Nothobranchius furzeri: one gene and its partners. The main gene of each other region encodes a partner of the protein of the gene in region 4 in a complex. Links are inferred from orthologs where the notes say so. Each region holds a gene or a part of one and is shown on either strand. Other genes may lie near its edges. The genes, in order: sf3b2, snip1, snrpe, snw1, snrpg, rbmx2 and rbm48.

The links.
Region 1: snw1 (region 4) and sf3b2 share a complex: the UniProt entries of both Homo sapiens proteins name them as parts of the minor spliceosome. The link is inferred for Nothobranchius furzeri from reciprocal best matches to the Homo sapiens genes SNW1 and SF3B2.
Region 2: snw1 (region 4) and snip1 share a complex: the UniProt entries of both Homo sapiens proteins name them as parts of the SNARP complex. The link is inferred for Nothobranchius furzeri from reciprocal best matches to the Homo sapiens genes SNW1 and SNIP1.
Region 3: snw1 (region 4) and snrpe share a complex: the UniProt entries of both Homo sapiens proteins name them as parts of the minor spliceosome. The link is inferred for Nothobranchius furzeri from reciprocal best matches to the Homo sapiens genes SNW1 and SNRPE.
Region 5: snw1 (region 4) and snrpg share a complex: the UniProt entries of both Homo sapiens proteins name them as parts of the minor spliceosome. The link is inferred for Nothobranchius furzeri from reciprocal best matches to the Homo sapiens genes SNW1 and SNRPG.
Region 6: snw1 (region 4) and rbmx2 share a complex: the UniProt entries of both Homo sapiens proteins name them as parts of the minor spliceosome. The link is inferred for Nothobranchius furzeri from reciprocal best matches to the Homo sapiens genes SNW1 and RBMX2.
Region 7: snw1 (region 4) and rbm48 share a complex: the UniProt entries of both Homo sapiens proteins name them as parts of the minor spliceosome. The link is inferred for Nothobranchius furzeri from reciprocal best matches to the Homo sapiens genes SNW1 and RBM48.

Annotation. Positions count from the first base shown.
Region 1 is NC_091742.1:75,387,253-75,390,752, forward strand, and holds part of sf3b2 (splicing factor 3B subunit 2), read right to left. Parts: intron 3,384-3,500; coding exon 3,292-3,383; intron 3,199-3,291; coding exon 2,977-3,198; intron 2,897-2,976; coding exon 2,771-2,896; intron 2,696-2,770; coding exon 2,615-2,695; intron 2,542-2,614; coding exon 2,314-2,541; intron 2,244-2,313; coding exon 2,094-2,243; intron 2,028-2,093; coding exon 1,938-2,027; intron 1,787-1,937; coding exon 1,679-1,786; intron 1,592-1,678; coding exon 1,484-1,591; intron 1,065-1,483; coding exon 922-1,064; intron 767-921; coding exon 665-766; intron 1-664. UniProt on the Homo sapiens protein: Component of the 17S U2 SnRNP complex of the spliceosome, a large ribonucleoprotein complex that removes introns from transcribed pre-mRNAs.
Region 2 is NC_091745.1:70,706,952-70,710,942, forward strand, and holds snip1 (smad nuclear-interacting protein 1), read left to right. Parts: upstream 1-1,191; 5' UTR 1,192-1,334; coding exon 1,335-1,495; intron 1,496-2,137; coding exon 2,138-2,267; intron 2,268-2,341; coding exon 2,342-2,877; intron 2,878-2,962; coding exon 2,963-3,215; 3' UTR 3,216-3,694; downstream 3,695-3,991. Other genes in the region: dnali1 (axonemal dynein light intermediate polypeptide 1), read right to left, coding at 878-955. UniProt on the Homo sapiens protein: Required for pre-mRNA splicing as component of the spliceosome. As a component of the minor spliceosome, involved in the splicing of U12-type introns in pre-mRNAs. Down-regulates NF-kappa-B signaling by competing with RELA for CREBBP/EP300 binding.
Region 3 is NC_091743.1:2,209,500-2,213,462, reverse strand, and holds the start of snrpe (small nuclear ribonucleoprotein E), read right to left. Parts: upstream 2,801-3,963; 5' UTR 2,661-2,800; coding exon 2,607-2,660; intron 805-2,606; coding exon 778-804; intron 701-777; coding exon 638-700; intron 1-637. UniProt on the Homo sapiens protein: Plays a role in pre-mRNA splicing as a core component of the spliceosomal U1, U2, U4 and U5 small nuclear ribonucleoproteins (snRNPs), the building blocks of the spliceosome.
Region 4 is NC_091742.1:20,646,474-20,650,539, reverse strand, and holds the start of snw1 (SNW domain-containing protein 1), read right to left. Parts: upstream 2,801-4,066; 5' UTR 2,698-2,800; coding exon 2,651-2,697; intron 1,063-2,650; coding exon 909-1,062; intron 800-908; coding exon 638-799; intron 1-637. UniProt on the Homo sapiens protein: Involved in pre-mRNA splicing as component of the spliceosome. As a component of the minor spliceosome, involved in the splicing of U12-type introns in pre-mRNAs.
Region 5 is NC_091755.1:44,512,153-44,516,195, reverse strand, and holds the start of snrpg (small nuclear ribonucleoprotein G), read right to left. Parts: upstream 2,801-4,043; 5' UTR 2,680-2,800; coding exon 2,648-2,679; intron 2,472-2,647; coding exon 2,449-2,471; intron 1-2,448. UniProt on the Homo sapiens protein: Plays a role in pre-mRNA splicing as a core component of the spliceosomal U1, U2, U4 and U5 small nuclear ribonucleoproteins (snRNPs), the building blocks of the spliceosome.
Region 6 is NC_091750.1:26,772,697-26,776,951, forward strand, and holds rbmx2 (RNA-binding motif protein, X-linked 2), read right to left. Parts: upstream 2,801-4,255; 5' UTR 2,695-2,800; coding exon 2,690-2,694; intron 1,484-2,689; coding exon 1,368-1,483; intron 1,187-1,367; coding exon 1,135-1,186; intron 1,052-1,134; coding exon 922-1,051; intron 794-921; coding exon 607-793; intron 533-606; coding exon 162-532; 3' UTR 83-161; downstream 1-82. Other genes in the region: ap4m1 (AP-4 complex subunit mu-1), read left to right, coding at 3,538-3,599, 3,673-3,758, 3,990-4,096, 4,201-4,255. UniProt on the Homo sapiens protein: Involved in pre-mRNA splicing as component of the activated spliceosome. As a component of the minor spliceosome, involved in the splicing of U12-type introns in pre-mRNAs.
Region 7 is NC_091759.1:22,195,766-22,200,009, forward strand, and holds rbm48 (RNA-binding protein 48), read left to right. Parts: upstream 1-1,444; 5' UTR 1,445-1,459; coding exon 1,460-1,588; intron 1,589-1,739; coding exon 1,740-1,930; intron 1,931-2,001; coding exon 2,002-2,147; intron 2,148-2,231; coding exon 2,232-2,761; intron 2,762-2,856; coding exon 2,857-2,919; 3' UTR 2,920-3,842; downstream 3,843-4,244. Other genes in the region: peroxisomal ATPase PEX1, read right to left, coding at 915-1,022. UniProt on the Homo sapiens protein: As a component of the minor spliceosome, involved in the splicing of U12-type introns in pre-mRNAs.

The DNA of each region.
Region 1 (3,500 bases), about 55 Mb from region 4:
CATTTTACTGGCAGCATGCACTGATCAGTGACATCACTCACTGCCAAAATGGTCCTGACGTCTTAGCAAAGTCCCGAAAAGGTTGATTTAAGAAGTAAGAAGACAACGACGGAGGAGAATAGGCCAGCGCACCTTCCCCATCACCCTCATTCGGACGCATCGTTACCGGCCCATCCCATCCCAGAGTTCATGCACGGGAGATTCTGGTCCTTGCGACGATGGCGGGCGAAGCAGGAGAGGATGGAAGCATTTTAACCTCTTGTGGTACAAAAACTAAAAACTTCAGTGGTCTTGTCAGGATTTGTTTGTTTGAATGTCTGATTTTCAAATATATTTTCATCAAAAACGATGAGAAAACCCCTCGTGAAAGAGCCGATATGGTGAGGCCGCGTATTTCTTTATGTGTTCAGAAGTTTAGATTTAGCTTCTGTTTGGCACCGTGGAAGTTGCTAGGCGACAGGATCAGAAGGTTTACATCAACAGCCGTTCTCTTCTAGTCTCAGTGGATGAGGAACGACCTGACCCGTGTGGGCAGGTCCTAACGAGGACGCTGTCCCTGAATATGGACACATCCTTTGTCTCCCTGCTGAGAACCCTGATGCATCGACCAGTAAAAACGATGAACTAAAGGGGATGGAGGCAGCAGAAAAGCTGCTACACTCACCCGTCCATGGCCTCCTCGATCTTCTTCTTCCTCAGCTCAATCAGCTCAGGCGTCTCCGTGCCGATGGGCACCGACGAGAAGCCTCCAGGTGTGATCAGCCCACTGAGGAACAAAAGGAAAGATTTGTTTCATCTCCTACCCGTCTGGGAGAGGGTGATGCTGACAGGACACAGACCCACTACACCCACACAAGAGATCAGGTAAATCTAACCCAGTCTAACCAGTCACACAACTGTGTTCTTTAACAGCATTCAGACCTGTCAGCTGGTGTGAAGAATCCAGTTTCATCTGGCTTCTCTTCATCGCTCTCCTCCTCCTCTTCCTCCTCTGATGACTCCTCATCTGAAGGCTCCAGCTCTCCCCACGGCGTGCGGTCCACCTCCTCCTCCTCTGCTTTAGCCTGGGGACACACACACATACGCACACACACGCGCGCAAACAAAAACACACTTTTACACAGCTAGAAAAAAAAAATGAAATAAAATAACAGAATCAATGATAAACATGATTTTCTTTCTTGTAAATTTGGGCTCTAAAAGCTGAAAATAATAAACAAAGTGCTTTAGAGAGCATCACATCAACCAGACTGGCTTTGATCTCACTGTTCCAGCTTGATTTTTATATTAAACTCTAAAACATGAACTCTATTCCTAATCTGTCAACAAAAACGTAATAAAAATGACCACCAGCTAGACTCCGCCAGGCTGTGATAGCATCAGAGTTTGAAGGAATCAATAAAGTCTGATGATGTCAGCAGGCCCTGGTTTTCATTTAGCACCTTTTTTTATATTTTGTGTGTAAAGCTGTTTTATTTCTGACCTGGAAGTCAGCGGAGTTGGTCCCAAACACGTCGCCGTAAAGCGGTTTGCCCATCTCGTCCACCGGCGGCTTGCCCCAGCCTCCGGCGTGATAACCAAACGTACAGTTCTGGTGATCAGGAACACACCCGGAAGCAGGAAGTTAGTAGGAAGCATGACACAAACACAACCAGAGGAGACCACGATGAACTCTTACATCTGGGATGGGCGAGTTGAGTCCAGGGATCTTGAGGTTGGGGTAGGAGGGAGGGGGGCCGTACCTCTGCATGGCTATCAGCCAGGGGGGGGGCACCTTGTGGGCGTTCTGATGGACAAGAAACAACACAAAAATGCTGAGTCATGAAACCATTTTAACACCTCGTTACGAGTAGCCTCCACTGAGCGTGCTACTATCCATGTTACCATGGTGATGCAAACAGAAGCATCACACATGTTAACAGAAGAGGACAGCTTACCGGTCCCACGGGCATCCCCAGAGCGATCCGCAGCTCATCAGAGAGATCTCCTGGTTTCTTCTCTTTCAGACGCGTTTCAAACTCTTTACCCTAAAAACAAAAACACGCCATGAGATGATTTTTAAGTGAGGAGCAGCCAGAGGAGTGGTCCCATACCTCGTAGTAGAGGTCTCCATGGATGGTGAGCTTGGGCTTGATCTGCCACTTGAAGAACGCGTCGTGGAGCTTCTGGTAGTCGATGTCGATCTTTCCCATCTTGGGACGAACCTTCTCTCTCATTTTGGTTTTCATGGTTTTGGCGTCCTCCTGCAAGCAGAACAGCTCCCATCAGTGACCACTAGAGGGCGAGGGAGGCAGAGGTCCCGCTGACACCCACCTTCTCCTGCAGAGCCTCCCTCATCTCCTGGATCCCCGTCCTCCTGATGAACTCCGGCAGCTGGAACGGGGGCTTCTCTATGCCTCGCTTGCCCTGCAGGTACTTGCGTTTGAAGCACCAGTGGCGCGGCACAGGGACCGTGTTCCTGGTGGCCTTCAGGTGCACCAGCAGCTTGGGCTCCTGAGCCGTCACGTCGTGCATCTCCACCACATCGGGTCGGGCCACCAGCTGGACGTAGGAACATTTGTGACTAAAGACTCTGATACCAACTACAACATCAACTAGAAGGAAGCTGCTCTACCTGTTTGAGCTCAGCCACTGTCAGCCTGTTCATCCTCCTCAGCTTCTTCTTGGACAGTTTAGGAACATCCTGTTTGACTTCCTGTGAGGTTTTTGGACGTTAAAGGGGCACAACATGTTTTTACCCACCAGAAAGCTCAAATGACCGAGTTCGTACCTCATCGCTGTCATCACTGTCTCTCCTCTCCAACTCAAATCCTTTCTTTCGCAGAACGCCTAAAACTTCCTGCTTTTCCGCCTTCTCCGGCTCCTTCTCCTTCTCTTTTTTCACATCATCAGTCAGCTAGGAACGAGGAAGGACAGGAAAGTGTTATCACAACAACACAGAGACACACCTGAACCTGTGCTGCTGATTAAAATCACCTTAAAAGCCTCAAAAATCCTCTTGAAGAAGATAAAGTTCGGGTCGTAGATCTCCGGCTCATCTGTGACGTACTCGATCTCCACCTCTGGCTCCTTCCCTTTCTCTTTCTCCTTCTCCTTCTCACCACCTCCCTTCTTCTGCTGCTGCTCAGCTTGTTCCTTCTTCTCCTGAGCTCGCTTCTTCTTGCTCTTCTTTTTGCGGTTCCTCCTCTTGCGGTTTTTCTGAGAGAGAAAAAAAATTGCTTGTTCAACTCAAAACGGGATCAAACTTGGTCACTACTAGGTGCTCCTGAGCTTTGTGCAGATGGGACTTACATCTTTTTTAGACATCAGACCATCTTCGTCGTTCTCAGACATCAGCGCTGAGGAATTGGTGGCATCCATGTCCCTCCCATCATCGTCGTCGTCTGTAGAGGGGAGAGTCAGTGAAGCAAAGAGCTAGAAACAGAGTAAACATCGGTGTGGCCGACGCTCGTCTGAGGGAGCTAAAGGAGGCTACAAAATCACAAACTGATGATGACCTG
Region 2 (3,991 bases), on a different chromosome or scaffold from region 4:
TGAAACCTCCGTTGATTGGTCCTCGTCTGAGCGACAGCGATGAAAAGTTGAAAATGTTTCAACTTTCTGGGATCGCGTCGCTGGGTCGTCCGTGCACGACACGTGCACGAGTGCAAAATTTCACACGCACGTTTTTCGCGTTTCGCTTAGTAGGAGAGAGACCCCCGATTATCGCTTTGTCGCGCATGTCTCATTGAAAATGAATGGAGGAGAGGTGATGTCGCCTCCCGTGTGTTGAGCCCTTAACACTCATGCCTGATGATTTTCCTGTTGTGCCTCACTCATGTGTCTTTCTTCCTCTGTCCTCTCTCTTTTCTCCTCTTTTTCTGTCTCTCTTCCTCACAGCACTCCTGTCTTCTCTTCTGTCTGTACTAACAAAAATGTTGTCAATCTGTGGGACAGTGGGGGCGAGTGAGACTGCTGCACACACACAAAAAAAAAGACTGCTGCTTGCGTGGGCCCCCTTGTGGCTGTGGGCCCCTGGGCCTGTGCCCAGTTTGCCCATATTATAATCCGGCCTTGCCAAAAGCGCATCACGCACAGTGTGTGGGGTTTATGAAAAAAGCCAGATTATATTAATTATAGCATTAGCTACTGAACAACAAGCACACAAACAACACTTAAGTAATTAACTGGCGTTATTTCCCATCTGTATAATTTAAGCCGATGTGCTTTTTTCCGCTCTGGTTTGTGAGATGGGCAGCAGTTGTTGTTTTTTCCCTTGTCAGTGGCTCTATTCCCTTTTCCGTACAGAGTAGAAATAAATAAATAAAATGTAGGGCACAAAAAGTCTGGATCTCTTTGCTCTGTGTTTCTTCCAACAACTTCCGTTAATGGTACCCCTTCAATCCACACCTTTAGGGTTTGTCCGACTTACTTTGGTTGAGCTTGAGGCTGTCCTCTTAACCAAAACGGGATCGTCATATTTCAAGAGAGAATCGTCTAATTCAATCATCCTGACGCCTTTATGTACAGAAATAGCTGTTTATGTTGTCATGGTAACGTTCGGGCGTTTGCCGGAAAACAGAAAAAAAAAGATCTAAGCGCAATTTAAAAAAGAAAAATAGCTCAAATCCACTTGGAGTTGAATTTACGGCTTCATAAAAATATCTGTAGTTTTCATGATTTAATCCGTGTTATCTTTAAACGGAACGGAAGTCATCATAGCGGAACGTTTAGTTGAAAGCACATATACCACGTCGGAAGAAATTGTCAGCGCGCCAAACGGAAACGGAACGCAACTTTAGCAACCGTTTGGTGGGTTTTGCGTTTGTTTGCTTCTGTGGCTAACTATGCTTGCGTAGCCACAAAAAGTTGACGGATTTTGTTCAAAAATGGCCAAAGAGAAGCGACACAAGAGAAGAGATTCTCCCACGCGAGAGCCGGAAGTGAAAGTAAAACAGGAGAAATTGAGTCCGAGTAGGCCGCAGAAATCACGCCGCTCGAGGTCGAGATCCACAGACAACTCCAGTCCACAGAGGAGAAGAACCAGCAGGTAAACACGCGTTTGTCGCCCTTTGAGCACCACCAAGGTGATAATATTCAGATCTGATGTTCTTTATTTTCTAATAACTGAATTTAAATGTGACTTAAGTTGACACATCTTCAAAGGAAATGCTTTTTAGAAAAAAAAAGTTCAGATAATTTACGTTATTTCTTTATATCACAGTAAGTAGATTGTTATTAACACGTGTATTTACAACTATATCACGTTCAGCTTCAAGTGCCTATAGTACGTCAGTTAGATTATTAACCAAGCTCCTGTCTTACTCGAATGAGTACAAATCAAGAAACAATCAAAAGCATCTAAATATATAGTTTATATAGCTACATTTATTTAAATTTCTTATAATGTGTAGTAATATTCTAAAATCCAATGGCAATTAGCTAAAACATGCGTTTTAGCTAATCAAAACTTTATTAATTGGTATCAAAAACTAACATCTTAGATCCTCTACACACATTTTGGATATTTAATGCAAAGTCAAAGTATTGATTAATCTTGTTTAATTCCCACACCTGATCTCTTACAATCTCTAACACTGAAAGATGACTTTATTACTATTTTAGTTTGTAAATGCTGCCTAACTGATACGAGTGGCTTAAGAGTGTTTTCTCTTTTGTGCTCCTCACACAGGTCACCCGTGAGGACAAGAGACCGCTCACCAGGCAGAAGGGAGACCTCTCCTGTTAGACGAAACAGCAGATCTCCCAGAAACAAGAGAAATCACAGCCCTCATTGTAGCAGTGACTCTAGAATAAAGAGGGTGATTATAAAATTCTAAACTGAAACTGACTTGTCTCAACTTGTAGTCATGAAGGTTTTGTGTTTTTGTTTTAGGAGCGTGATGAGCATAGATCTAGCGGCGATGAGCGGAGGAGGAGGAACGAGCAGCCAGATGAAAGACGAAGCAGGTGGGAACATAACAGGTCCGGGGACCGGGATGGAGAGAGGCATCGTGAGCGAAACTCCCAAGTGACTCAGCAAGCTGAGCGGCGGCAGCACGATGAGCGGCGTAGGGAAAATCGGCGGCGGCGTGAAGAAAATCAAGAACAGGAGTTTGGACAAGCTGAGGGAGACGGCAGCGACTCGGGGGCACCGCCTGCTGATAAAGAGAAGCCCAACTTTGAATTGTCAGGGGCTCTCACAGAGGACACCAACACGTTCCGTGGGGTGGTGATCAAGTACAACGAGCCACAGGAAGCTCGAATTCCAAAGCGCAGGTGGCGATTGTACCCTTTCAAGAATGATGAACCCCTTCCTGTCATGTACATTCACAGACAGAGTGCCTATTTGTTGGGGCGGCAAAGAAAGATCGCTGATATCCCCATCGACCACCCATCCTGCTCCAAGCAACATGCAGTATTCCAATACAGGTATGTTGTATGTAAATGTTTTCACTGTGTGATTAATTAGATTTGTGGGGAAAATATACAACTAAGGATTCTGTTTATTCTGCAGGTTAGTGGAGTACACTCGAAAAGACGGCACCACTGGCCGCAGGGTAAGGCCTTATATCATCGACCTCGCTTCTGGCAACGGTACCTACCTGAACAACCAGCGGATCGAGTCTCAGCGCTACTACGAGCTCAAAGAAAAAGACGTTCTCAAGTTTGGCTTTAGCAGCCGCGAATACGTCCTATTGCACGAATTCTCCGACACGAGCGAAGTTGATGCAAAGCAGGAAGAAGAAGAAGACGAGGGTCTTGAGTAAATTACTCCCAATGTGTTTGTGCCTAAATTCATTTATGATGGATAAGACCAATGAGAATGTTAGAAAGTGGAGCGATGTATCTTGTGCGTGGGAATTCACACCACGTGGTTGGATTGTTATGTATATTGTGTAAATATTGAACTCTTGCTTAAACCTGCCACACCTGTCTCCAAGTAGACCTCCTTTCTCAGGATTAATGCATGGCTGATCTCATGTGTTATGTCAGGGTACATCATTGGAAAACCAACCTTATGTTTAGGAAAGCATTTCTTATTGACTTAATGAACATAAATACACAGAATATAATAATTGTATTTTTATTTTTTGCTTTTTTTTGTAGTGGAGGGGAAATACTTGATGCTATGTGTTTCTGCATCATTTATACAAAAACTTCCCTGTTTGATTTTGTCAGTTCAGGTGTATTGATAGTAAGAGTTCATTTTTCTACTGTAAATTAAAATATAGATTATTAAAAAAAATCTCTGTGATTGTTATTAAAGAGCAAGTAACGCCTAAATTAACTATTTTTTTTTGTGCTGATAACTTGCACAGATGAGTGTCTAATGGGGCTGTACACACGTGTAATCATTAATGTGGCAGTTTAGTAGCCTGGCAAGCCAGACTAAATAAATGTATTATTTACTTTGCAAAGCAAGAATTTGGTCTAGTTCACTAGGTTAGCAGTTTAGTGCGTCTTACTTAAAATTTGATACTTCAGCCCAAAACCATAATTATATCTCCATCTTTTGGTTAAAACCTCTGCTCCACATTTATGT
Region 3 (3,963 bases), on a different chromosome or scaffold from region 4:
ATAATAAATGTCCTGAGTGCTGCCGTCTCCTCCTCTGGCCATTATTTCAGCTTTAGCTTAAAGAAAGTTTTGGTTGTAAACAACAAAGTGCGCATGTGCCGCCGGCAACTTCAGCAGATGATACGGTGGCTGGTAAGGGTCACCGCGCCTACACCGCAGCCACGGTAATCCACCGAGATAATATAGTTTTTTTTAAAAACAAGACGGTTATTACTATTGTCAACTTTTTTACCGGGGTTTACCGCTACACCGGTTACCGTGACAACCCTAGCCCTGACACACTTTCATATTCTCATGGTGCAGCTGTGTTCTCCAGAGATCAAGGACTAGGACCCAAATGAGGCTGTAATGCAGCAAAAACGTAAAAGAACCTGCTGAACTTTTCCCGCAGGACAAGTGTAAAGTTTTCATCCTACAACGAACAATACGGCACGGAGGAAGTTCAATATTTAATATGAGTTTTAGAGAAACTCTGGGCCGTGTGAGGTGAGTTTTTAAAGTTAAAAAAATCCTTTCACAGGCCCTGAAAACACTCTGAAAAACAGCCCATCCACGTGGGTATCCAGCAGCAGATAACCTATCAGGCATCCCTGTTGCATATGGAGGTAAGGAAGAATGAAACAAAGCCATTACTTACGATTATGCAGCCCTCTATCCTCATGTTGACCTGCTCATACAGCCACACCTGGATCCGTGAGCGCTGGGGACAGGCAGGGAACAACTTAGAGGTTCTTCATCTAAATAAAACCATTTCAAACTAAAGGGATAGCAACTTACATTTTGAAGGTATCTGAAGATAAGGTTCTGAAGGTAGAGTCAAGGAAAACCAACGCTCAGCAGTAACAGTACACGCACGTCTGTAGCCTACATTTGTACTCAGTTGTAGTGTTACCTTTATTCATTGCCATTAAAAGTAACTTATTACATTTTAAAGTAACAGAGTTACACTCAGCAGCTGCCAACATAAAAATCAGTACATAGGATTTGGTAACCATGTCCTGAAAATAAATGACAGCGGGGCTGGGACTGATGGTCGGACATCTCGGGCCGTGCCTTCATTCAGGTTTCACTTACAGGTTCCACTCCAAACAATCTCAATGTAACCGACCCGGCACAGAGGAGTTCTGCTCGTGTTCGGGCCAATGCCACTGACCGACTCTACTTTAGTTAGACCCAAACAAACATGTTTACACTTATTGTTATTATAAACCACAAAGGCTGAGGAAGACGAGGCTGAAGTTGGCTTCAGATCCGGGAAACCGCTAAAGGGCAATTACGCCCAATTTTTCTCTGACCATCTTTAATCTGCTCTGGCTGGAAAACTACAACACCTGCACTCTTCAAACCTGAACTGGATTATTCTAGACTAATAGCAGATTGCAAAAAACATCATTTGTGATTTGTAAAACCTTTTTCTGATTTGTGAAACTTCAAGAAACCAGATTTTAGCACGTTTTCTGCATCTAGACCACACTGAACAGCCATAGTTTCAAAACAACAATACCTAGACATTTCAAACCTGTACTGGATTATTCTGCACTGGTAGCAGAACAATTAAAATCAACTCTGATATTTGTGAAAGCTTTACTTAAAAGGCCATTTAATACCTTTTTGTGGTCCCTGGTTTCACAGCTCTGTTTCAAATATGACAGATGTTTAATTCAGGCTTTAAAAGTACTTTTCAGTAGAGGAGCCCTTAAGGAGCTCATGTATCTAACAAGGTATACTTAAGATTCATTATCGCGTGTGCACTAGGGGCACTTCGTTAGAAGGATTCAGCTAAACAGCTCACTCTAAATTCTAATAATCTGATAGCTGCTGACTGTATATCTTGTAGAAATTAAATATTAAAATCCAAATTGGTAATGCGACCCGTGTTTCACCCGATAATAAAATGTTAAACATGAGAAATGACCAGAGCCTAACTGTTTACAAAGCCCATTAAGATCAGGATTAAACTGATCAGCTATTAAGTGCTGCAGATAAACAGACTTTAACTTTTCATGTAAAATACCAAAAATAAAATTAAAACTCAGAACTTCACCGTCCAACTTCAATGTTTAGTTCATCCAATTCACATGTGATGAATCATGGACTATTTAAACTATGTTCGAGTAACCTGCCATTAGTCTAGGATATTGCAGTACAGGGCTGAAGAGCGCAGGTGGTGTCGTTTTCGAGCTAGAGCAGATTAAAGGTGGTCAGAGTAGAGAATAATTTGCCCTTTAGCCATTTCCCGAAGAGGTCGGAGGGCAGCTGTACAATGGCGTCCTCAGAACCTTTTCGATTACAACTGCAAAGTCCTACAAAGTACTCTGGATAACCGATGCTTCAGGAGATCAGAAGCTCCCATCACCTCCAGCGGTACAGCTAACCGGAGCCATTAGCATTAGCGGCGCTAGTTTTGCTGCTAAGTTCGCCTCGGGGCCGTTTCTTTTTCTCCGACATGATGCGGAACACGTGCATCATCTCATTAATTTTCATAAACACCAGAATCACACAGTTGGAACGGAATCCGCGCGTTCGTTCAGCGAACTGGGCCACCGGTTAGCCAGGCTGCTAAACACCTAGCTCCACTCACGCGTTCTCCATCATACAAAGGATACGATGGGCTGCACCATGACCTTCTGCACCTTCTGTCCTTGTCCTCTGTACGCCATCTCTCCAGCAAAACACCAACGAAATGTGTTCGGTAAACAAAAACTGCACCTTCTGGACCAAATGCACCTTAACGTTTGACCCGCGTTGAGAGCTAGCTACAATGGCAGGTTTCCGCGCGAGCAGGATCTTTAACCGGTCTGATTAACCGATTTTTAACAAACAGCAACGGAACAGCGCCTCCGCAGGACGGAGGACTCTACTGCAGCAGCCTGTTCGTTTTAGCACACCCTCAGGTGCCAGACATCAGAGCATGGAGGGAAAAAAGCAGGTTTCATTCAAACCCCATCAGACTTCTGACTTCATACCGTACCAATTTATTTATTTCATTTAAAAGCAGCATGGGAGCTGACCAAATGCGCATAACAATACAGTAACAATAAAACTCATAAAAACACCAATAAATCAGCCAATAAAAGCAGATAAAAACTACAATCAAACACACAATAAAAGAGAACTTTAAAAAGTCACAATCTGAAAGCCAAATCATAGAAGAGCGTCTTCAGCCGTGTCTTGGATGATGACTGATGGATAGTGAGTGACAAAGGCTCGCTTCCTCTTCGGGAGTAGCAGGCAGTGAGCAGGCCGCACTGCATCAAAGGTCTCAGAAAAAAGGTCTTGTAGCCTGACTAAACTTTTCCTGAGCTCCTTTTGTCTGCCAGACTTTTTTCTGAGACCTTTAGATCTGATTACGTAGTCAGAAGTCTGATGGGTTTGGGTTTTTTCTCTGTGGTCTGGATGGCTTTTGTGTCCCCAGAGGTGTTGTTCCAGGATTAGATCCGATCACGTGATTGGCTTGTTGAGTTGAGCTCATACCTCCTGGGGGTCAAAACAAAGTTGTATGCGTATATTTTGTAGTGTGTCGTCAGTCTGGGGCTTTTGGCCTCTAGATGGGGCTGTGTCACTTTCCAGATTTTACAGTCCATTTGTAAATATGAGACTTGGTTAATAGATGGACAAAAACAGAGTTAATTCCTCATCTTGATGTGTATAAAGCCCCTCTTTTCCCAGGAAGAAGGCCTTTAAATCCTGAATCTGACCATTGCTGGACAAAGCCGTTCCCCGTGATATTTATAGGTGGTTTTATAAAAAACGGGGTCTGCCATTTCTCTGTTGTGCACAGTAAACCTGTAACATGATGAGCCGAGTCAAGGAACACAGCCTTGAGTAGTTCACAATAGTATTAATAACATGCAACACAGGCTTGTCCCTGCCTCACAGAGGAGAAAGTGGGTTGATAATTAGCAGCCGAGGACAGACAAGTCTCTGCGAGTGGGGGGGAAGGCAAGGACCCTTGGTGGTGCA
Region 4 (4,066 bases):
ATTTCTTCATCAGATGGTGAATATTTCTCTCCAGAATCGGAGTCAGCCATTATCAGACAAAGAGCTTTGTCAACAATGAGCAGACCTGTCAGCATCGCAAGTCTCTCCACTCTAACATAAAATAATAGATCTAATAGATTTGACCTCTGTGAGCTCCGCTCCTCACCTCCGTACGAAGGGCAGTGTTTAAACTCTATAAACTCTGAAAACATCAGTAGAAACACCCAAAAGTGTTGCTCAGATTACAGTTACACATCTCCACTATCTGCCGGTGTAAAGTAATAACTTCACCAGGAATTACATTTGCAGCCGTGGTTCATTAAATGCAATATTACATAATGCACAGTCCTTCCCATGCTATGGTTCTAAATATTGACATCATTTATTTCAGTGTTGTGGTTTTTGGCCTTGGTTTCAGCCAAGAATTTTCCTTTCAGTGCATCTCTACTGTTTGGCTTCAAAAATGACAATTTTCACCCTAAAGCAACAAGATTGCAGGTATGTAATAAAAACTTCTAATAAGACATAAGCCAACTTAATTGTGAAAAGTTTAATCATTATCAGGTTTATGGGATTTGTCTGAATCCACTTAACTACAAATAAACACATCAAAAAAGGCAATGATAACCAAACATACCTTGTCCTTTCCCTGTCCTTGTCTGGCGATGGCATCATATTTGATTTTTCCTTCAGCATCCACTTGCACAGCCAGGGCATTGGACGTTCTCTTCCCCCTGCCCATCTCCAGAGGAAACTGAGCCACATGGATTTCTGGGAATGCCCCCCCATCTCCAAAGTCCTGGAAAAATAGATACACCCAACTTTAAAACCACACCAAGATTTTTTTTAGTGTGGCTATGAAGCCAAAAGCTCTGTTCCATTTCTAAAGCCTTAATGGTGGGAACTACCTCCAATGCGCGGGGTACCCAGCCTTTCCTGTGTCCATAAGGAGGGGGCTCTCTACGGGACGCAACCAGAGCGGTGGAGTAAGCCTTTTGGGCGCATAGCCTCTCCTCTGCCTCCAGCTGGTCCTGAGACAGCTGTGTTGGCGCTGGTAAAAAGCTTCATGAACAAAGAAGAACAAATTAAAAAGTGTTAAGTGAACTAGTATTAGCCACTAATGACAATAAATATAAACACAAAGGGGAATAATTGAGCTATTTGGACACAGGAGCCGATTTGGTCATGTTTATGCTTTACCAGAAGTTAACACTGACACATTTGATGTACTGTAATCTTATTGTGATACTGAGAGACTACATACTAGTAATGCCAATAATAACAATTTGGACTTTCGACAGGGCCACTCCAAACATCGTTCTATCCTTTGTCTGATTGCTGGTGATGCTTGATGCCACTGCCACCATGCAAGGGGAATATTTATAAATCATCTTTATTATGCTGTATATTTTTATTAATTGCTTTTACTTTAAAGAAGCAAGTTTCTTCCTTGTTGTCAAAATGTGTTTTTAATTTGACAATTCATGTCAGACAAGTCAAATAATACTGAATGTGAATTAGCTTCAGCAATAAACATGTGAAATATCAAAGACTGAGTAAATATTTATAACAGGATGAACGGAGAAGTATTTGACGCCGACAACAGCAGCACGCTCTGAGGAAGGAGACAGCATTAGCCGAAACTTCAGCAAAAACAGGGTATAACAACTCTTGCCGTGTTTGAAAAAGAACCAAGTAAAGTTGTTAGGAAGAAGAGAAAAACAGAATAAACATACATAAGATATTTATAACAGGACTGATCTAAGCACTATGACAGAATCCCAGAAGGGTATTGGTGATTGGGCACATCATGCAATCATGTATTATGCGATTTTCTAAAATAAAATAATAATAAAAAATCCCATTCTAGCACTTTCAACAAGAATTCATAGCATTTTGTTGCACCTTACAGATAATTATCATGAATATCTTTTTTCCCCACTTATCTCAAAGTAATTGTTACTAGCCTGCAACAAATGTCACATGCAGTTTAAAGCAATTCAAGTGCTTAAATAAAGTGTGTGCACATTTTAGCACATGAGAATAGCTCTCCCGTGAAGAGTTCTCCCAGGAAGCATGAAGAAGTCAGTATTTTAGAAGTGAATCGCCTTATTTTTCCTTTGCACAGTCAGAACATTCTTTCAATCTCATTCATTAACCAGGATGCGTTTCCCCGGCTGAAAAGACCAAAGACGAAATTTAAATTCTGCACAGTTTGATTTCAGCCTTTTAATTTATTTTATTTTATCGTTTTACACAACAGATGCAAGCAGGAAGGGGGAAGAACACGGGGAAACATCAATGCTCGTCTAGCCCAGGGCTTCAATATAAATAGTAGTATCATGAATTTAAATGACTGAATATTACAATTTGGTCAAATGAAAGCCATAATTAAGATGAAATTGACCGAAAAACTAACTTGCTCAGCGACAACGACTGCGTGTTGCAAGATGGCTAATGCTACATGTTTAGCCGACGAGCTAAACGATAGCCTCGGCTACTGCCGCTAGCTTCGATTAAACCAATTAAAATTAAATCGTGAACTTCGGCGATAAAGCCTGAATATGTAATTTTCCTAAACGTTATTATGAGTCCCAGTCAATAGCTCTTTAAATAGCATAAACAGACAAGGCCTTGTCAACGAACTTACCTAGTAAGCGACATGTTTAAGTTTTTCTTTTTGGATAAACTGAGCATGCGCACAGCGGCATTACATCACTTCCTGATCGTGCGACTGCTCCTTACGTAGACCATAGAAATGAATACGTAGACGCCCCATTGTGCGATGGAGAGCTTTGCCGCCATATTGGATGGGTCTCCTCACTCTCCGAGGTCAATGCCGAGTGGGCCGGTGTCAGTACAGGATCTGCTCGGGTGCAAGATCGGCTCGGGGTCCGTCGACTGCCGATGACGTCTAAGTAGTTGATTGGCTGAACATGAACCTTACGGAAATACGCAATCACGTTACGTTGTTATCACGTTACGTTGGTCCAGGCAAATCTTTCCATTGGAAAGATGGACAACTTTTACAAAGAAATCCATCATTACCTCTTTGAAAATACACTTTTAGCATAGAGCTGCATGTATATTAGGGCTGAACGATTAACTGCATGTGCAATTAAATTGCGATGTGACAAAAGGAGATTTTCTAATCTCAAAGGCTTCAATTTGGCAGCGAGTGGTTAGCGTAATGCTAATATACATGGAAAAACCCATAGGAATGCTAATGCTAATATCGCCGATTACATTATTACAAATTATGAATTAGAAACGTGCCAAATGATTACATTTGGAGTCTTAAAGAAAGTAAAAATACCATCAATCAAATAAGTACAGACAGGTATTTTAGTAAAGCCAGGAGATTTTCTAATCTCAAAGGCTGCAATTTGGCAGCGAGTGGTTAGCGCAATGCTAATATACATGGAAAAACCCATAGGAATGCTAATGCTAATATCGCCGATTACATTATTGCAAATTATGAATTACAAACGTGCCAAATGATTACATTTGGAGTCTAATAGAAAGTAAAAATACCATCAATCAAATAAGTACAGACAGGTTTTTTAGTAAAGCCAGAAAACTTTTAACTCCAGAGTTTTGGCTAGCAGCTACAGTCTATGACAAGACGTCAACAACTCTAAACACAAAATACTTAAATAAACGGGACACACTTCTTTCCTGCAAATACAATTTTACAGGTGTTGCTAATACCTATGATTCTTCAAGCCAAGGGATGTGCTCAAAGAGGAGTTCAACATTATGAATAAGATATATAAGAAATAGTGTTTTATTTTACAAATACCATTATAAACACAAACTTATGTCTTAAGAAACATTATTTTAATAACGAAAGTGCTAAATTCTTTCCAACAGTATAGATGTGTAGTGCATTTTGTCCGAGTCGGTTTGCCGTACTTTGACGTCATCGGGAGTCGAAGGACCCCGAGCCGATCTTGCACCCGAGCAGATACTGTACCGACACCGGTGTCGGTACATCTGCTCGGGTGCAGGATCGGCTCGGGGTCCTTCGACTAGCGATGGCGTCAAAGTAGATTCGCTGAACATG
Region 5 (4,043 bases), on a different chromosome or scaffold from region 4:
ACGATCTAAGTGAGACATCCTCATCTTAATCTGCTCCGGTAGGTAAATAACATGTTTAAGATAACGTTAGCTCGATATGTTAGCTTCCGTTTCGCTAATGGTGTGTTCGCTTTCTCCTCGGAACTTCGAATTTCCGACTGGAATAACATGAACGCGCTCTAAAGTTTGGCTTCACTTTACTAAATGCGACGGGTGATTGGGTGAAGATGAAACCAGCGACAACGATCTAAGTGTGAGGCATCATCGTTTTAATCTGCTCCAGCAGCTAAATAAACTGTTTAAGATAACGTTAGCTTGGTATGTTAGCTTCCATTGCCACCGTTGTTATCAGCTAATGGTGCGTTCGCTTTCTCCTCGGAACTTCGAATTTCCGACTGGAATAACATGAACGCGCTCTAAAGTTTGGCTTCACTTTACTAAATGCGACGGGTGATTGGGTGAAGATGAAACCAGCGACAACGATCTAAGTGTGAGGCATCATCGTTTTAATCTGCTCCAGCAGCTAAATAAACTGTTAAAGATAACGTTAGCTTGGTATGTTAGCTTCCATTGCTACTATTGTTATCAGCTAATGGTGCGTTCGCTTTCTCCTCGGAAATTCTAACTTCCCAGTAGGAAAAATCAAATGAAAAAGACGGCAAAAGGAATGAAGATACACAGTAAATTTAGTTCACAGTAAAGACGTTTGCTTCAGTTTAATTATCAGCTTATAAAACTACAAGGACCATGTTAAAATACAAACAGTTGTATGTTTTTTATCGTGATATTTATCAAATATGGTTATATATTGAGAAAAATATATATTTAATTATAAAAGAGAATTAAAATAATAAACACTCAAAAGTATCTAAAATTGATACCGTTAAGTACCGGTATCGATTCCTAGGTACCGGGAATTAGTACCGGATCGATTCAAATGTCAAAGGTACCCATCCCTAAGTCTGACTGAGCGCTTCCAGGAGAAATTATGAAAACAATAACGCGTGTTTGGAGCATCGGTTTAGAGGAGCGTCCTGCGATCCTCTCGTGTGAGTAGACAGTCTCTCTCTCTGATCGAGCGGAGCGCGCCACATGACAACCCGCTCAATTAACATAATTCACGGCCCAAATCCAACAGAACCGGTCGGGCTGATTTGGTTCCGGCTCAGGTTACAACTCTAGCGCTCAGCAATGCAGTACCACATCAAGGCGGAACCACGTGGTAAATGTGGAGGACGCTCACTCTGACAGATGCTGGTGCCGCCGTTAAAAAAACAAAACTACATTCCACTATAATCGATTACGGCGTACTCTTCTACGATTTATGTCCGCATCCCGATGCATCGATTATTTTCCTCAGCTCTAATTTGAATGCAGGAAAAACCCTGCACAATCTTCACAGAACCCCTGCAAACCAAGCTATTTACCCCAATTATGCAGCTAAATAAACAAAAGTAAATACAAACATTTAAAATCTAACCAAACATTAGCTGACATGCCTAAAAAATGATTTTACACCAACAGAATGATCTCTTAAAAGTTATCAAAGAAATATATTTATTATTGCGCATGTGTATACTCACAATTGCCTATCCCTAGACTCACTCTGTCAGTGTTTGAGGCAAGCAAACGACCGGATGCAGTCTAACTTCCTCCAGTTTAACAAAGACGAGACTGAAGTTATCGTCTTTGGGAATCAGAAGGTTAGGATGGACGTTACTGCTCAGCTCGGCTCCAGAGGAACGAAGACAAGGCAGCTTTATGTCTCGAGCACGTTTCAAACACAGAGGCAATCCTATGTGCTTTACAGTCACCAGGACATGATAAAACACTAACTACAACACACACAGATAGAATTACAGTTTAGAGCTAAAGGACAAAGACTCATAACTGATTCAGACCTGAGCTGCACCGGGTCAGAACCAAGCAGGGTGATGCTGCACACAGATGAAATCAGCTTCCCCGCGAGCTCAGATGTGCCCCATCTCTGGTCTCTTTATTCATCTTCCTGTCAGTCGTTGCTCCTCGTGCTGCACCTTCTGCTCTGGTGTTCCCAACCCTTCTCAGCCTTTTGATTTGACTTAGATGGATTTTAAATCTGCTGGTTTTTGTCAGACTTGCTTCATAGACCCAGACCAGGCTGAGCACCACGGAGGACAATGCCCTCCACCCTCTAACCTTTAACCCTACCCTGAGAGTTTAAGCACACCCCAACCTACAAGCGGCTTTTAAGAAGGACTGAAAACGTTTCTCTCTAGTAGATCTTTTATAGTAAAGCTTTTCATCTTTCATAATCAACATTTTCCTTTCCTCTAAACGCGTTGAGATTGTCGTGATGTAAAGCGCAACACAAATGCAATCGATTATTATTCCGTCACGTGGTTTTAATGTTTTAGCACCTTAAAACTATAAACTCTTCATAATCACAATAGGGGCTTTAAAGACATATTCGTAAAACGCCATACTCACATGAAAGCTTTTTATCCATGAATCTGAAACATAAAACAACATTTCAGGCGACGGTGGTTCACAGTTCAGGCAGGGTTGCTAATGTTAGCCTCATGGTAAAGAATGGAGCAAAGCTAACAGGCTAACACGTTCTTTCCGTTAAAATCGTGGAAACAAAATTAATAATTTCTAATTGTTATTTTTAAACACGTGAACTTACTTCTTCAGCTCTGGCGGGTGTGCTTTGCTCATTCTGTATCGTTTTTTGTACCGAAGTCCGGTGAGCTAGCTCGTCGGGGTTACGTTGAACAAAACCGCGGAAGGAAAATGTGACCGGAAGTGAAGCAGTTAGCGTTTACAGTCCCACTACGCCCCCTCGAGGCGGGGAGGAGAACGTGTTAGGGTTGGATCTGCAAATATCTGCAAGAACACTTTGTTTCAAACAACTTTTACAATTTTATTGTCAATCTTACAAAAAAGCAAAAGTAAACGTAAGTATTACATATTATACTGAAATGTATTTGAAATGTAAAACGATGTTAATAAGTGCATATTTTATGTTCCTTCTACCTTATTGTTTGTATTCAGTTGACCATTTATTTTGCTGTTGAACGACAGAGATGCATTGTGCTGCCTGATTTTTACCTGTCAGACCGGAGTCCCTAGCTCCCAGCAGTGTCAGCTCAACTTCGTTCTCTTCTTTTCCAGGATGGAAATCTGTTGTGCAGTTTGTATAATTTACACAATTTAACCTAATCTTTAAAGTTATTCTTTCATTTCTGTAAATTCTCATCAAGTTAAAAAGTATAGTTAAAATTAAGCAGATTCAACAGATAACAGGAAGAAGAGCTATTTTTGACAAAGTAAAAAACAACAAATAAAATTCAGTGAAACCAAGTTTGACTATGAAAACTCATGGAAGCCCACAACCAATATCTAAGAACACAATAAAACCAGATTGTGATTTCAAGAAGGCAACTGTAGAAGTCAAGTCCATTACTCGAACTCCTGAGGCTGCTAGACCGGGACCTGGTTGACGCTCTGTGTTGATCCGATGTTGACTAAATTACTTGAACAGCCTTAAGCGTGGAGTTGTTATGATAATGCTTCTTGTTTAATGTTGATTGCATTCCAGGATGTAACAATGATAGGAGTAATCCGATTACTTTCCCATTCAAACGTCTTCATGCCACAGCGGTCAAAAACCTGTTTGCCCTTCCGGAATAGTGCCTGACGCCAACAATGACATCACTACCTTTATTCCGACCAGTAACAATGACATCACTACCTTTATTCTGACCAGTAACAATGACATCACTACCTTTATTCTGACCAGTAACAATGACATCACTACCTTTATTCTGACCAGTAACAATGTGATAGAGTGGGAACTCTGGAAGTTATTTGCTGATCTGACAGTATCTTCAAGATAAGGGCTCCGGTCAGAGAGCAGGGCACGGAGAGACAGTTTTACGTATTTAATGACAGTTGAAGTATGGACATCTGTACATTTCTGTGGTTCCGTGTGGTCTGGAAAATAAATACAAAGAATGATGTAAAAGGATTGTACAAATGGTGAAGTAAATATGCCAACGTTTAAGACTAAGCAAAAACAA
Region 6 (4,255 bases), on a different chromosome or scaffold from region 4:
AAATGCTTCACGAGTTCGCCAACGTGTTGCTTTGTAAAAGTCTCACCCGTCCTCAGGTGTTGGACATCAGACATGAAGTGTATCAGGTGTTCAGGTCAGATTTTAATACGAAACATTAAAACACACACACACACACCATGGATCGGCCAATCACAACCTGTCTATTTTCTATACGGCTCCCGTTTCCTGTTGTCTCCGTCTTTTCTTCTGTCTTCGTCCCACTCCCTCTCTCTTCGTCTTTTGTCTCTGTCCATCTCTTGTCTCCTATAGTCGTCTCTTCTGTCCTTGTCTCTGTCCACCTCTCTCTCACAGTTCCTCCACTTGTCTTCATTCCTGTCTGTCCCCTTTCCTCTCTCCGTGTCCCTCGTCCTCTGCCCTGCAGGCACCTCCTTGTGGTTGTACTTGTCGTAGGCGGCGTCTTGCTTCTCCTCTTTCAGTCTGAAGACTGCAGGAGGAGGAGAAGGTGATGAAGAGGGAGCTCTGCTCTTCTTCCTCTTCTCTTTCTTTTTTTTCTTCTTCTTCTCTTTCTTATCTGAGACAGAAAAGGGAAATAAGTCCACCTGGTCCTAGATCAGGTGACTTTCAGGTAACAGGAAGTGACCTCACCTTTTTTGGGCTTCTTCGCAGGTACGACGCACTGCTCTTCTTCCTCAGAGGAAGAGGGGACAACAGTAGGACCTTTGGGAGCACAGCCCTCTTCTCTGAGATGTTTGGTCACATCGTCCATGTCCTCGTTGTCTTTGGGAGGACGATAATTTTTAACGTGATCCACGCGGATAGTTCGACCTTTAATCTGAACGTTTAAACAACAACAAAAAGATTTTAGCTAATTGTCTCATCAGAGACCATGTTGATGCCGCTGTGGGCCAGCAAGGAGCGGCGCTGGGTCCACACCAGGACCTGGTGAGGACAGGAAGTCACCTTTATGCCATTGAAGTTGTCCACTGCCAGGATGGTGCTCCTCTGGTCCTCATAGCAGATGAAGCAGAACCCTTTAGACTTCCCCGTCTTCTTGTCTCTCACCAGGTTGATGTTGACGATCTCTCCGTACCTGGCAGGTTTGTCGAGAGGAGACAAACGTCACTGTCATGTCAGCTATAACGTAAAGCAGGTGAGACGTAAGCATGTACGTACTGGGAGAAGACACAGATCAGGTCTCCTTCAGTCAGCTCGAAGGGGAACCCTCCTGCAGGAAACGAGACCTCGTAAGCATCATCAGAACCAAACAAACCCACTTCAACAGTTTCATTCATGAGATCCCTTTTTATGTTGTTAATGAACAGAAGCAAATCGTCTCCAAAAGCCCAAAACACCAAACTCATCCCAACGTCTCCACGTGTGAAGGGCTGGGTTTGAGGAGTTCTCACCGATGAAGATCCAGGCACTGTCCCGGTACTCTGTGTGCCAGGAGACGGTCTCGCTGATGCCGAGGTCAGCCTCGCGCTCATTCAGCTCGTTAATCAGCTTCACCTTCGTTAGAGGACTGAAAACACACAAGTTGCTCAGTAAATCGTCCCGTTAGGGACTGGACCTGATTCTGACTCAATTGGAGTTTTATTGTGAAAAGCTGTCAGGACAATTTAGAAAGAAAAACTGCTTTTTGTTTGGACTACAGAGAAAAAGAGTCGAGCTTTTCTATTCAACCCCAACCTTGAGCCTGACCCTAATGACCCTTCAGCAGCAGCAGGCATAATCCTGTTCCTCCAGCAGGACCACGGTGTTCCTGGTCGAGCTGCTCCGTTTCACTTGTTGGCTTGATTTAAATTTGACATTTTAATTCTGAGGGCTGTTGCCTTGCAGCAAGGAGGTCCTGGGTTTACATCCCAGCCCGTCTTTCTGCATAGAGCTTGCATGTTCTCCCTGTGCATGCGTGGGTTCTCTCCGGGTACTCCGGCTTCCTCCCACAGTCCAAAAACACGACTGTCAGGTTGATTGGTCTGCCTAAATCATCCTTAGGTGGCTGTGCATGGTTGTTTGTCCTGTGTGCCTCTGGGCTGCCCTACGATGGACGATGGACTGGCAACCCATCCAGGATGTACCCCGCCTGCATGCCCAGAGACTGCTGGAGATAGGCACCAGCCCCCCAGAACCCTGTGAGGATATGCGGGTTCAGACAATGGCTGGATATACATGTAAATGTGTCCCCTTTGACTTCCGGGGTAAATACGATCGGAGTGGTGTGTTTTATTAGTCGAATGATCTTTTTTTTTGCAGCAGACGTAGAAACATTCATGAGAAAAAGATAACACCACATATGACCAAGCTTGTGGTCCTGTCTTCATCAGCAGTTGACATAAATTATTAGTCAACTTTATCAGACACACTGGTCTAGAATAAAACACGTAGTAGAAGGTCAGGGGTGTAAACAAAACAATAGCCAACCTACACATGATCAAATGTCTTCTTGAAGCATCAAAGATACATGCTACATCCCAAACACAACTGGGTGTTTATGTTTTATTACATGCTCTCTCTGGTTTTTAAGGAAAAAATGTTAAATTATCTGTTTTTTGAGCAGAATCCGATCGGCTACGAGTAGGAGCTAGCTAACAGCTAGCATGCTGCACCAGGATCAGTCATCAAACCGCAGAATAACGAACTCGCTCTTTTTACTTTAACTACACGACAAGAAGTAGAACAGTGTTGTGTCGGTGGTTCGTGTCATTTATGAATACATAAATGTACTTACTTCATAGTTAGTTACAGAAATTAGGGCACAGATCAGACGTTTTATTTGTTGAGGTAGACCACTTCCGTTTGGTTCGTCTCTGCTGCCCTCTGCAGTTTGGAGATCTAAACTACAAGCGATCATTAAACATGTGCAGATTATTTCTCTCGGGTTTATATAACACACCCAAACCATCTAGGTTGATGTATCTGAAGCAATTTCTTACGTAGCTATGAGTTCACTCATCGTGAAGTTAATAAATATAAAGTTATTAATGCAATCCTCATTCAACCTCCTGTCCACAAGGGAGCGCTGTGGGGCTACATGCTAACGGAGCCGTGTCGTAAACCGTAGCTATAACCTGAATATAAACCCAAAACCTTTCTGTCAGGTTAGCTTTGTAACCCTGCAGACAATGAGCTTATCTGGTTGTATTCAGCGTTTCTGAAAACTGCGGCCCTGTGAGTTATTAAAGTTTATCTATAGCTTACTGCTAGCCAAAGCAGCACCAGCCGTGCTTTCATTTCCTTTGAAGTTCTGTTAAAAATAGCCGCAGTAAGATCTGGTTCTTCCAGGTAGACCCCACACCTTCCGCAGGCGAGTACAGCAGCTGTAACCCCTCACAGATCCACCTTTCCGTTAGCGGAACTTCTGTAGTTTTATCTGCAGGTTCTCACCAGTACACAACAGTGCTGTTAACACTTATAATACAATAAATTAGATAGGATTTGGCTTTATTCCAACTCTGATAAACATGTTGTAACGTGACGGAAGTGGTCACTTTTATTAAATGATCAATAAGGTGTGATATTCCATATAAATATTAGTTATCATTATCATTAATCTTGTGCTTGTGATCTTCCTTTCAGGAGGATGATCTCTCAGGTCTTCATCCTGTCCTCCAAGGGGGACCATCTCATCTACAAGGACTGTATCCTTTTGCTTCCAGTCCCGTGAGACTTTACCCTATCAGGAGTTAGAGCTTAACCCAAGCCAACAATCAGACCGAGGCCAAAGAGGAAACGATGTGGTCAACATCTTCTATGAGAAGGTCACAGCGCTGACTGGAGACCAACCTCTGGTCGTCACGGTAACGCCTCCACAGTCTGGGACACATTTAGACCCAAACTGTTGTGTTGTTTTGAGTTCTGATTTGACCCAAACACGAAGAGTAGGTCAAACCAGAACCACTAGATTAGAAGTCACATCAGGATGAAGCAACGATGTTTCGGCGTCTGTTTACTGTCTGAGGAACTGGACTGAAACCATGCAGATGATTCGAGAGTCAAAAGTAAAACAAACCTGATTCTGTGTCCCGCAGAGCGACAGAGACCTGCACTTTGTACATGTCAGACATGAAGGCCTTTACTGGGTCGCCACGACGACAGCCGACTCCTCACCGTTCACCATCATCGAGTTCCTCAACAGGTTTGTTCTGGTTCTAAACAGAACCTTCAGATGGAGCTGCCTGCTGGTCACCTAGATGTCAGCTGATAAACATCTTGACTGAACAGAACCGGTCCATGTTTCAGGCTGATGGCGCTGGTCAGGGATTACTGTGGCAGACTCTCTGAGAAGTCCATCCAG
Region 7 (4,244 bases), on a different chromosome or scaffold from region 4:
TAAGCATTTTATGTGTTAAAGGACCATGGCTGCAGTGTGTGTGTGTGTGTGTGTTTTAATGCAAACGATGCAAGGAAAGGGAGAGAGAAAATGAATAGGGAAGCGGGAAATCAGTGGATCACGGAAATGTGGAATAAGTGCAAAGAGCAGAACAAGGAGAGGGTGGTGAAGGTCCCACCAAAGCCTGAACAGGTGACTTTTCAGCTGCTTTTTAAAGGAGACCACTGAGTCCACTGATCTCAGGCTCAGGGGGAGAGAGGTCCACAGTCTGGGGGCCACACCAGCAAATGATCTGTCACCTTTGACCTTTAGCCTGGTGCTGCACAACCAGTTGGCTTTGATCACTGGACCTCAGGGACCTGCTGGGGGTGTAGGGACTAAGAAGATCACCAATGTAAGATGGTGCTTGTCCATGTAAGGCTCTATAGACCAGAACCAGGATCTTGAAATGAACCCTGAAGTTGACTGGCAGCCAGTGAAGCTGGAGGAGAAGCGGGGTGATGTGGGTGCGTTTGGAGGACTTGGTCAGAAGCCGAGCACAGGCGTTCTGAACCACCTGTAGACGGTTCAGGGAGGTTCTGCTCAGACACGTGAAAAGAGAGTTACAGTAGTCTAAGTGTGTCTCTCTAAGTCTCTAATGCAGTAAAATAAGGCAAACATAGATGTCAAGGAAGCAATTCACCTGAAAATCCTAAAAACCAGCAGCTGTCGTTGATTAGGTAACTGTTTGCTTTGCATGTTTATAAAATCTCAAACAAAAGTACTTTCATCTGAGCATAAGACAACCCGGCTAGTCGTTTAAAAACTGTCATCTGTTTATGCTAGCACAGACATTATACATTAAAACTAAGTCTTAACGTACAGAAATGATCTAAAAAGCAGTAAATCAACATGAAATTAGTTAGCTAACCTACCTCGTTCAAGGAAAGATGCGCTACCAACTTGGAAGGGAGGTGAAGAAAGCAGTTTTTTGTGTTGTTAAAAACGACACGAACGGCTTGAATTCCCTGGTTGCTAAACATAATTTTCGCATTGCTAGCTAGCTTAGCATACACCAGGCAGAGAGAGCAATTGGATTTATCGATGTGCTCTGTGGACGATGGACTCCTCACCAGGCAAAAGTAGTTGATCTTTTGCTTTCAAAATAAAAGAGTATTCTAACAGGCAGCGCGACGGTATTCACTGAACTGTAAGCATTTATTTTGAAAGTGTTAAACCGGAAGCGCAGACGCATTCACTGAACTAAAAGCGTTTATTTTGAAAGTGTTAAACCGGAAGTGCAGACGCATTCACTGAACTAAAAGCATTTATTTTGAAAGTGTTAAACCGGAAGCGCAGACGCATTCACTGAACTAAAAGCGTTTATTTTGAAAGTGTTAAACCGGAAGTGCAGACGCATTCACTGAACTAAAAGCATTTATTTTGAAAGTGTTAAACCGGAACAGCATTTAGAATAAGCATGGCGGTCCCTGTAAACAACAGCTCCGGTTGTTGGAAAGTTCCTGACGTTCACAAACATCACGAACAGCAGAAAGTTTGCATTTCTCGACCAAAGTATCGAGAAGGAAGAAGAGCTAAAGCGGTTAAGGTGAGACAATCTTAGAAGTTATTAATTTCAGCTAAAATGTTCATAAATTCTGTAAAGAAGACACACAAGATTTGCTTTAGCTTAATTGGTAACATCATTCTAATACTGCACTGAACGCAGGAAATGTAACTTTAGTCTTGTGAATTTCCAGGTGTACACCATTAACCTAGAGTCCCGTTTCCTGATGGTACTGGGAGTCCCAGCTATCGGTGTGATGACGGAGCTGGTCCAGCTGTGTGCCCTGTATGGTGTTGTGGAGGAGTACAGACCTCTGGACGAGTATCCGGCTGAGGAGTTTACAGAAGTCTACCTCATCAAGTTCCAGAAGCTAACCAGCGCCAGGTACGATTTATTCGCTCCTCATACTTTACTGGAAATACCTGCTTAATCGTTATCGAATGTTTCTGTTTCAGAGCAGCCAAACGCAACATGGATGAGAAAAGCTTCTACGGCGGTGTGCTGCATGTGTGTTACGTCCCAGAGTATGAGACTGTAGAAGACACCAGGCTAAAGCTACAGGACCGGAGGGGTTATGTTATGAGAGCAGCTCGGAGCAGAGGTATCGTTTAACATCATGTTTGATTTAGTTCTGACCTTTAAATGTTGCTTTTCAATGCTTTAAAACAAATCTTCTCTTACAAAGCAAAAGCGGCGCACAGCGAAGGCTCCGCATCATCGACGACTGCATCAGACATAAACGTCAGACACGATCAAACCTCTAAAAAAGAATGTGCAGAGGATGCTTCAAACCACAGCCAACATGCAGAATTCCCTCCTCTCCCATTACCTCCATGGGAGCAGCATCCCTTTGGACATAACAGTCCACATGGGATCAGCGCACAGGAGGACAAAATGGGAACTTTACATGATGCCATCATAAACTTGAAACAGCCCCAAGTGGAAAAGTTAAGCGTTAACCAAGCCTCAGAGAGAGACCACGACACAGAACACAGACTGACCTCAGATCAGGCTTCAGCATTCAGGTTTCTCCCAAGGTCCTCGCACTTGGAGATCAGGAAACGCAGAATGGAAGAGGCTCCCGAGCAGTCGGCAAGTGTTTCTGGAGGAACCGAGACCCTGATTGGACCGAAATTACCAGAACCACCTAAACTGGACATGAATGATGACTCGTTGAACACAACTGCCAGCCTGATCAGGAACACAATGAAACAGGTCATTGTTGATTCAGTACTTTAATAATTTCATAAAAAGTAAATCAGCCTTAATGAAGGATTAAAACATGTGAATCTTTTTTTTTTTTTTTTCAGGTGGGATCTGCTCCGGGTTTCAAAGCTGTTGAGAAAAAGACAAAACCACGTCGTCGGATATGATCTGGACAGGTGTCTAGATGGGAGTCTTGGAAGAAAACCGACGCTCCCACTGCTTCGGAAAACTGTTTATCTCATCGGCTGTTGTATGCTATGATACCAACCTGTATAAAAAAGGTTAAAAAAAACAGCTATTATGTAAAGAGTGCACAAATTTACATTTAGAAAGCTAAAGAAATACTAATACTGTGTTTCCTATGTGCATGTTGCCGTGGCGCGCCACTACGGAAAAATAAAAGCTGCCACACCTTCAGAAGTAAACAAAAAAAAAACTTCAAACAACGTACCTTCAGAAACATTTTTTTTGGATATACATTAAAACAATAACGAGACATATATAGTCTATATTTGTGCATGTGTACTAACCATAGTCACAGTTTAAAATAAATTTTATTGCAACAAAACTTTAAACTGCAGTTCAAAAAGATCTACCGACCGCTAAATTAGCGAGGGCGCACCGGTGTGGTGAAGTCACCTGAGGACAAAACAGGTGATGCGCTTCGCTCCGCAGCAGCAAAACGCATCGGGCACAAATAAAAGACAGGAAGCATAAAAAGGACACGAGTCGACATAAACAATCGTGTGTTATACGTGGAGACACTGAGAATGTTACTGTCGCCATGCTCAGGACACCGCTCTGGTGCGCGCCAACCATCAGGAGGTGAGCGAAGGAGAGACAAGTGGAGAGGCAGAACAAGGACCAGCATGCATAAGTGAGCATGATGAGGGAGAGAGCAGCAGGGAAGCGGTAAGAGGGAAGAAAAAAGTCAGCACAGAGAATCTGGCTGGGACCCAAAATGGACAGAAATCAAGTTCCGCCCATGGCTGTAATCAAGGTGGGAATCAAGCAATACAAATTATTTCAAGGTAAATATATTTTTACATTTTTTTTATTTAATTGTAATTAAACAATAAGCTGATTTACACACCTGCGATGGACTGGCTCTCTGTTCAGGGTGGCACCAGCCCCCAACCCCCCACCCCCGCGACCCTACATGGACAAAGCGGGTTCAGACAATGGATGGATGGATGTTTTACACACACCTGCAGGAATGTTCATCGAAAAGCATACTGCTCGTGTCTCAGAGCGACCGTCTCCGCACGTCTCTCCACCACGGTTTATCAAAATCGTAGAGGAAACCCTGAGCATGTTATTTTATCTCACACTGTCAATATTTTAACTGCTAAAACTTTCTGCATATTAGGAAAATCTTGAAATCCTTCACATGGGTGCAAATTTACCACCAAACAAATAAAATGGTCACAAAAACATTAGAACAGTACTAATTAAAGAAAAATAACAGCCCAAAATAGACTTTTACAAAAAC